Linked DNA regions of Schizosaccharomyces pombe. The protein of the gene in region 2 purifies or fractionates together with the protein of the main gene of each other region. This does not show direct contact. Each region holds a gene or a part of one and is shown on either strand. Other genes may lie near its edges.

What was found.
Region 1: the proteins of tif307 (region 2) and sum1 purify together in Schizosaccharomyces pombe (affinity purification with western blotting, with the first as the bait; one study listed by BioGRID). This does not show direct contact.

What each region holds. Positions count from the first base shown.
Region 1 is NC_003424.3:5,356,797-5,361,070, reverse strand, and holds sum1 (translation initiation factor eIF3i), read right to left. Parts: upstream 2,148-4,274; 5' UTR 2,116-2,147; coding exon 2,053-2,115; exon of another isoform or gene 1,998-2,052; coding exon 1,877-1,997; exon of another isoform or gene 1,521-1,876; coding exon 718-1,520; 3' UTR 567-717; downstream 1-566. Other genes in the region: met8 (siroheme synthase), read left to right, coding at 1-499; rer2 (cis-prenyltransferase), read left to right, coding at 2,672-2,878, 2,991-3,250, 3,297-3,513, 3,569-3,679; F-box/WD repeat protein Pop2, read right to left, coding at 3,829-4,274. UniProt on the Schizosaccharomyces pombe protein: Component of the eukaryotic translation initiation factor 3 (eIF-3) complex, which is involved in protein synthesis of a specialized repertoire of mRNAs and, together with other initiation factors, stimulates binding of mRNA and methionyl-tRNAi to the 40S ribosome.
Region 2 is NC_003423.3:1,770,724-1,775,089, forward strand, and holds tif307 (translation initiation factor eIF3g), read left to right. Parts: upstream 1-2,279; 5' UTR 2,280-2,299; coding exon 2,300-2,310; exon of another isoform or gene 2,311-2,351; coding exon 2,352-3,189; 3' UTR 3,190-3,824; downstream 3,825-4,366. Other genes in the region: long-chain-fatty-acid-CoA ligase Lcf1, read left to right, coding at 1-1,526.

The DNA.
Region 1 (4,274 bases), on a different chromosome or scaffold from region 2:
TTCCGAAATTTATAAGTTATGCAAAAGCAAAAAAATCCCGGTCAATGCGGCGGATATTCCACCTGAATGTGATTTCTACTTTGGGTCTGAAATCCGTAACGGCCCTCTACAAATTATGGTTAGCACCAATGGTAAAGGTCCAAAACTTGCCAGTTTAATACGAAAAAAAATCGAAAGTTCAATCAATCCAGCTACTGGTATGGCATTGGAAAAAACTGGCCTTTTACGACAAAAATTACGAGACATTGTTCCCGAACCTGAAAACAGTCGCAAAAGAATGAGATGGATGATTGAGATTTGCGAACTGTGGTCTTTGGAGGAACTTGCCATGCTCGACGAAAATCTCATCAACCGACTTTTGGGATACTTCCCAAAAAAAACACCTAGTTATCGAGAAATAACGACTCCAGCCTACAGCAAGATAGACAACTACATATGGTTTGGAGCAATTATAATTTCTGGGGCTGTTCTCCTCAAACATGTTTCAAAAGCTCGTTAAAAGAAGCGTTTGATAAGTTAGTTGCTTTACGGAATATGACAATTACATTACTTTTCACTTTAAAACATTTGAATTTTGAATGGAATTTATTAAAAAACTCTTGTACTCATAGAAGGTTATTTTTCATATAATGCTCCCTAAACGAAAATGATACATCTTTGGAAAAAAGTTCCGTTGTCCATTACTATACTATCAACAGTTTTTTGAATAAAATTAACCTACAATGTATACTTGAAGTCAAAGTAGTTTTTATCGAAGAAGTGCACCCGAACATAACCATCTTCTCCACCACTAGCATAACCGGTTCCTTTGGGATGGACAGCTATTGTGTTGATAGGACCGAAATGACCCTTAACGCGGCCTAACTCTTCTTCTAAAATCGCATGATAAAAACGTGCTTCAAATTTACCCTGTCTAGCAGCAGTAGTAGTAACATCACGGGCTTCTTGACCACCTCCTAAAATAACGAAGTCTTGGACAGGAGTAAAACTAGAAGTATTAAGAGGCGTATCAGTAAGGTATGTTTTGATGACTTCAAAAGAATCAACATCAATAGCTTTAGCAGTCGTATCCTTGCAAGAAGTGATGAAGTAAGTACGATCAGGATAAAACTGAAGATCAGTAATAGTAGAACCAGAATTATGAACTTGTTTAGATTCAACGAATTCTCCGGTTATAGCATCGTATCTGGAAACGGAGCCATCTTCATGACCAGTAAAGAGAAACTTGCTCAAGTAAGACCATCCAGCGACCGTTGCTTTAGATTCACGAGTAGTAATAACGTAAAGGGGGGTTTCAGCAGCGGCATCGCTTTCCGAAATAGGAACACGGAAAACAGTGACGGTACCAGCATAACCCATACGTTCCTCGGTAACAGCAAGAATACGGGTATCATCTTCGTTGAACTCAACACGTTTGACAGCAGTAGGAAATTCCCACTTGTACAACTGCTTTCCTGTTTTAACATCCCAAAGACGCATGGTATTGTCAGCGGCTCCACTAACCATTAAAGTGCTACTTTCTGTTTCAGTTAGTAACCATTGGAAAAGGAACAGATGATCTAGTTGGATTTGAGGCATCAAGAAGAAGGAAAAGGATTTAAAAGAAGTTTAAATGCTTTCCACGAGGAAGTGAAGTGAGGTAAACGTAGCATTAATATAAGTAAAGGAGATGCACCATGCATATTTAACTTTAAGTACTACGCCAACTCAGAATCGTGGATCACGAGTATAACCATCTGCAATCGGACGACTAATAAAAAAAATACATTTATTAGAGTCATGATATGTTTCATTATTCGTGTTTCCTTATACTTCCATAATCCGTATACCTTTAGATGTCTTAATCCAACATACATCACCACCAATTTTCACGTACTATTAATATCACAAGTCCAAATTGCACCAGTATGACCCTCATATGTACCTAGGCGTTCACCATTGTGTGAAAACCAGACATTAATCACTTTATCCTTGGCACATGAGAATAATAAATCACCCTACACACAAAAATTAGTAAATTTTCCACATATAATGGACGGTTATTAAACCTACATCGTGATTATATTTTATTTGAGTCAAAGGACGCTCATGACCCTGTAAAATGATAGGCCTCATCTTTTGAACAGGAAAGTGCTGGTAGAGGGTTTGAGCGAAAAGTCTTTAGTTGTAATATTTTGATTCTAATTAGCGTAACTTAAGGATGGTATTAAAAATAAGGAGGCTTAACGACACTCTTAAATGAACTGGCTTCATTTCTGAGACACTTGCGTTAGACTAGTTAGACCCAAAGGTCGCACGTCTCACTTTGAAAACAGTATTTTGTGGTTTTGTTTGAATTTTGTCTGTCTTACTTATTTGTACAAAAAATAATATTTCTTTCGTGATTTTTAAAAAAAAATACAAAAGCGTTTGGTCTTAAACTAGCGTCTCTTTGTTCCATTCGTTTACGATTGAAAGTATATTTCCTTAGCTAAAAATCCTTTTCTAGCGTGCTTGGTAATTATACTTATAAAACATATCTAGAACCGGATAACCTGAGTGTTTTATAGAAGCGTCAAAAACATCTAATCGTTTTTTGAAAATAATTGTTTATCAAGATAATTATTTCTCTTTGATATTTAGCGTGCATTTATAAAGGAAAAGAAAAGAATTGACAAAATATCTTGACAATATGGGTAATTTATCAGGCTGGTTTATTCACTGTCCTCCATTACAATGGACACTTGATCAATTAGAAACGATGATGATAAATACAATTAAACGTGGCAAAGTACCACAACACATAGCCTTTGTAATGGATGGCAATCGACGGTGGGCTCGTCAAAGAAGGATGGAAACTATCGAGGGTCATAGCTCAGGTTTTGAAGCTTTAAAATCTGTAAGTTTAAAGAACATTAATAGAAGGTTAAACGTACCGTTTCTCCATGTTTTGCGCATTGGTATCCGTCTACGTTCTGCACAATTTGGTACATTAACTAACCCTGCGTAAGCTATTAAAAGTGTGTCTGAAGTTAGGAGTTAAAGAAGTATCGGCTTTCACATTCTCCATTGAAAATTTTAAGCGATCTAAATATGAAGTTGATATGTTAATGGAGATTGCAAAAAACAGCTTAACGCAAATTACTGCTCATGGTGATTTGGTTGATCAGTATGGGATCCGTATTCGCATTGTTGGCGATCTTAGCAGGTTGCAACCTGACGTTTTAGAAACTGCTCTAAAGGCTGTGGAAATTACAAAACATAACACAAAGTATGTGAAATTTTTCAAATTTTTATTTTGCTAATTGACATCTTAGGGCAACATTAAATGTTTGCTTTCCATACACTTCTCGACATGAAATTGCTACTTCTGTGCAATCAATAGTAAAAATGGCAGAAGATGGTACAATCACTCCAGAAGATATAGATGAAGATATATTTGAAAAAAACCTATTGATAAAAGATAGTCTTCCTTTAGACTTGTTGATTCGCACTAGCGGTGTGGAGCGTCTATCTGATTTTATGTTATGGCAGGTAAGTAAAAATTCTCCTAATTTTCTAGTCAAAGATATTCAACTAATTTTATCAGTGTCACAAAAATACGGAGATAAAATTCATCGATTTCTACTGGCCGGATTTTTCTATCTGGAAGTTTTTCCCAATGTTAATTCAATACCAGTTACAAAACCAACCAGCATAATTTATTCAATCCTTCGTTACTTATTTACTTTTGATAGGCTTTGGCTGTTAATTTTACATTGTATACATTTAATATGTGTTAGTAGCTGATGTAAATAGTTAGACACTACTCTAATTATGTCTTCTTAAATATTGTTAAAATGAAACTTTCTACGGTCTTGATCCGGAAAAATTAATAACTTCCAAATATGCTTGATCATCACGCTGCACTGCAGCCACACAACGCATAGCATCAAAATCGACATGCCATATTTTTGTGAGGTCTGTTAATAGAAAACGTAACAGCTTTCCAGTCCTAACATCCCATAACTTTACAGAACCATCATTACCACTAATAATTTTGTGTTCATCTGACACAAAGCTACTAATGTAGCCTGAATTAGACGGCAAAACCATTAATGGTTTCCCAGTATTCAAATCCCATATTCTAATTGTGGAGTCAGCAGAACCTGATATCAACCTATTCTGGAATACATTAAGAAGCGTAACAAAGGCATCATGGCCTTCAAGCACATATTTACAAGTCCCTGTCGATAAATCCCAAACCCTAATGGACTTATCCATGCTACCGCTTATGCAAATATTCCTTTCTGGTT
Region 2 (4,366 bases):
TCCGAGGAATGTATACAGAAGGACATCTCTTAAAAACTTTGGTCAATCCCTTGAAGGAAATTGAATCACTTGAAGTAATCATCTACCGCAACGATGCCAAGGAGGAGGACATAAAGACAATTCAGGAGATTCGTCCTAACCTCAAATTGATTAAATTTGCTGATTTTGAGAAAATGTCTCCTCCCGTTGAGCCTGATCCACCTTCACCTGAAGAGATCTGCTGTATTATGTACACTTCTGGTAGTACCGGTTTACCTAAGGGTGTAATTTTGAGTCACAAGAACATGGTTGCAATTGTCACTGCTATTGTCAAGCACGTTCCTGAAGTTACCTCTAAAGATTATCTTTTGGCCTACCTTCCATTGGCACACATTCTCGAATTTGCGTTTGAAAACATTTGTTTGGCTTGGGGTGGTACCATTGGCTATGCCAACGTCCGTACTTTGGTCGATACTAATTGCAGAAACTGCAAGGGTGATATCAATACCTTCCGTCCCACTATCATGGTTGGTGTTCCCGCTGTATGGGAAATGGTACGTAAGGGTATCATGAGTAAATTAAACGCTGCCTCTGCTGTTAAGCGTTCAGTTTTTTGGACTGCTTATTACACTAAAGCAAAGTTGATGCGTCACAATCTTCCCGGTTCTTGCGTATTGGATACCGCTGTATTCAATAAAATTAGATCTATGGGAACCGGTGGTCGTTTAAGATACACTTTATCTGGTGGTTCTGCCTTATCTCCTGACACCAAGCGCTTCCTTTCTATCGTTCTCTGTCCTATGTTAATCGGTTATGGTTTGACCGAAATTAGTGCAGCTGCTATGGTTCAGAACCCTGCTTGTTTCAATTTGGACGATTCAGCTGGATCTCTTTTGCCTTGTACTGAGATGAAGTTAGTTGACTGTGAAGAGGGCAACTACAACTCTCACGGACACCCTCCTCGTGGTGAAATCTGGCTTCGTGGTCCCTCTTTGACTCGGGGATATCTTAACCGTGATAAAGAAAATAAAGAAAGCTTTACTCCAGATGGTTGGTTCCGTACTGGTGATGTTGGCGAATTGACTCCAGAAGGATTGCTTAGAATTATTGATCGTAAGAAAAACCTCGTCAAAACTCAAAATGGCGAGTATATTGCACTGGAGAAGCTTGAATCTCGCTATCGTACGAGCAGTCTTGTTTCGAATATCTGTGTATATGCAGATCAGACCAAGGTGAAGCCTTTGGCAATCATCGTTCCCAACGAGCCCGTCGTTCGTAAACTTGCCACTGAACAAGCCGGTCTTAGTCCTGATGCCTCTTGGGAGGAAGTTTGTCATAACAAGAAAGTTCGTCAACTTGTTTATGACGACCTTATTCGTATTGGTCGTAGTCATCATTTCGCTAATATCGAACTTATTCAAAACGTCGTCCTTGTTCCCATTGAGTTTACACCCGAAAATGGATTGGTGACTGCAGCTCAGAAATTACAGCGTCGCAAAATTTTGGATCGTTTCAAGAAGGAAATTGACGCCGCTTACGCCGAGTAAAGTCATTTAGATAAAATGTTTGCAGGATATTTGCCTTTAGTCTTTTATATATTTACCTCGACATTCTCCTTTAGTTGGTATGACACCTCAAATTTGCAACGCTATAAGTAATCAGCCGCCTTGGTTGGTGCTAAGGACTTTAACTTAGATTTGTTAAGTCCTTTGGGAATTCCTTTTCTTTTTTTCAGAGCATTTTCTCTTATTACAACAAAACATTTGTCCTTATTTAATCATGAATGCTAGATTTATGAATGCACCAAATTCCCATCCGGGTATGATTATAGTGTTTTAGCTAGATGTTCTTATACCCAGTTCAATGATGCTGGGTTTTTATTTTTTTATTTTGTATTTTGATAATATCTATATTAACGGGAATTGAGAAATTTTTTAAAGAGCTTTGTACAGAATAATAGAAGATGATGGTATTGCAAAACCTGGCTATTTATAGTGATCGGTAATAGAGATCTGCAGATTATGGCTTCAACTGACGATTGAATTGAGATGACCGGTGCGAAGTTTGTCCTGGTTATTAACGATCCCTTCAATTTGAAATCCACAATTTCATCCGCTTTTTCTAATAGTAGCAACAGAAAGCTTAAACTAATTTAGTCGCAAGGTATCATCTCCTTTTTAAGAAAAGTTCAAGTAGTGTACTGCAACGTAGACTGCTATGTTGGTATATCAAACTTCTACTAATGTATGTTAATTCAACACTACAACAAATTTTCTGGTGATGAAGGGCTCACCCTCTTCAAACATCTTTTGTCTATAAAATGAGTTCATCGTATGTAATATATTTTTTTGTGAAAGAAACTAACAAAGTAGGAAATCACTGGATTGGGCTGACGATGAGGACTATGGTACTGGATTGCCTTCGATTCAGACGTTTGATAATCCCGATGGCACAAAAACCATGATTGAATTTCGCATTGATGATAATGGCAAAAAGGTGAAGGTTACCAGAGTTATACGGAAAACCGTTATTACGGAGCGGGTGCAACACGCTGTGGCGGAGCGTAAGAAATGGAAAAAATTCGGAAAGGAAGCAGGCAAGAACAGTGGTGTTGATGCTAGAACCACTAGTGTTGGCGAAAATGTTCAGTTAAGACTTCAACTTGGTTGGACTACTACGAAGGAAGAGGAGCAAGATGAGGCTGCTTTGGCTGCCGCTAAGGTTAAGGCAAAGGGTAGCTCTGTGGTTCGTTGTCGTGCTTGTAAGGGTAACCATTTTACCGCTCAATGTCCTTACAAGAGCATTATTGGACCTGTTGATGAGCCTCCCTTGGATGCTAGTCCTGTTTCTTCAAGGGCTAGTGGTGCCTTGGGCGAAAAGGGTCGTTATATAGCTCCTCATCTTCGTGCTGGCTCAGGGCGTGAGAGTGGTGATTCTATGTTCAAACGTGAACGTGATGATAGTGCCACTCTTCGTGTCACTAACTTATCTGATGATACCCGTGAAGAGGAACTTCGTGATTTGTTCCGTCGCTTTGGTGGTATTCAACGTGTATATTTGGCAAAGGATAAGGAAACTGGTCGTGCTAAAGGTTTTGCCTTTGTCAGTTATTACGATAGAGATTGTGCTATCAAGGCTCGTGATCGCTTGGATGGTTACGGTTGGAACAATTTGATTTTACGATGTGAATTCTCCAAGCCTCGAGATTAAGTTTCTTTTAATTATATAAAAATTTCTTGAAATTGGATAAAGGTCTACGTATATAAAAAATTTTCTTTTTTCTTCCATAAATCGTTCCCTTATTTTCACCCATGTATTCAGTCTAATCCCTCGGATTGTCTTAACCACCTTACCCGTTTCTGAGAGCTTTCATATGTTATACTTTTTAATGCTTGACATTGTTCAGGCTCTATTATCCCTAATTGCATTGGGTTTGGTAGAATGCTAAAATTTCCTTTTTTGGGGTTGTATCTGCGTAGTGATCGTCCCATGGTATGTCTCATAAATCTATGCTAAATTGGAAAGGATCCTTACGTTTTGTTCCTCTGCTTTTGCTATTTAAAAGAATAAAATTAGGTTTCATTTACTTATCGTTTGTTTTCTTTTCCTCTTTATACTTTTTATATTTGAAATGGTTGCCTCTGAAAAATTTTTGAAATAACTTTTAGTATTTTGTAGCAATATCATGAATGGTTTAAAGCTGTACACTTGCCTTGATGATTGGTCTTTTGGTACCTTTTTTTTCAGATTGTGAAACAAATTTTTACGCGCGAAATTAGATTGCTGGTGTACTTGACGAGTTAAGAAAAAATAAGGGTTTTTAAACTGACTAATTTTAACTATTTTAGAAAATTTTTTTGTACTCCATTGTTATAACTGCTCCAAAACCATTTGTTATTTTTTCAGCATGTAGTGCTACATGGAGAGTGTAAGGATTCGCAAAATCCATTAATGTTGTAATTTGAAGCAACTTTCTCGTTTGTGTCTTCATTAATTACACCAAGGCTTTCTAGGTTAAGCTGAAAGAAAAGCTAATTTTTTCAACTGACTACTTAAGCAGTTTTGACTTTACCAATTCGACTTTCATTATTACAACTTATGCTGTACATTCTTTTTTTTAATATCTATAATATTAAATATTTATGAGATCAAGCGAAGGCCCCTTAACTCAGTTGGTAGAGTGTGAGATTCCAAATCTCAAAGTCAAGTGTTCAAGTCACTTAGGGGTCATATTTTTTATAAGTTTTTATCCTGTGTTCAAAGGCATAGCAAGTTTTAAGAACACATTTGTCATAAAGATTTAACAATATAACTCTCATATCCGTTGAAATAGCTGGTTCACTTCATACGATAGTATTGACTTTTAATGACCATTAATCTTTGCTAA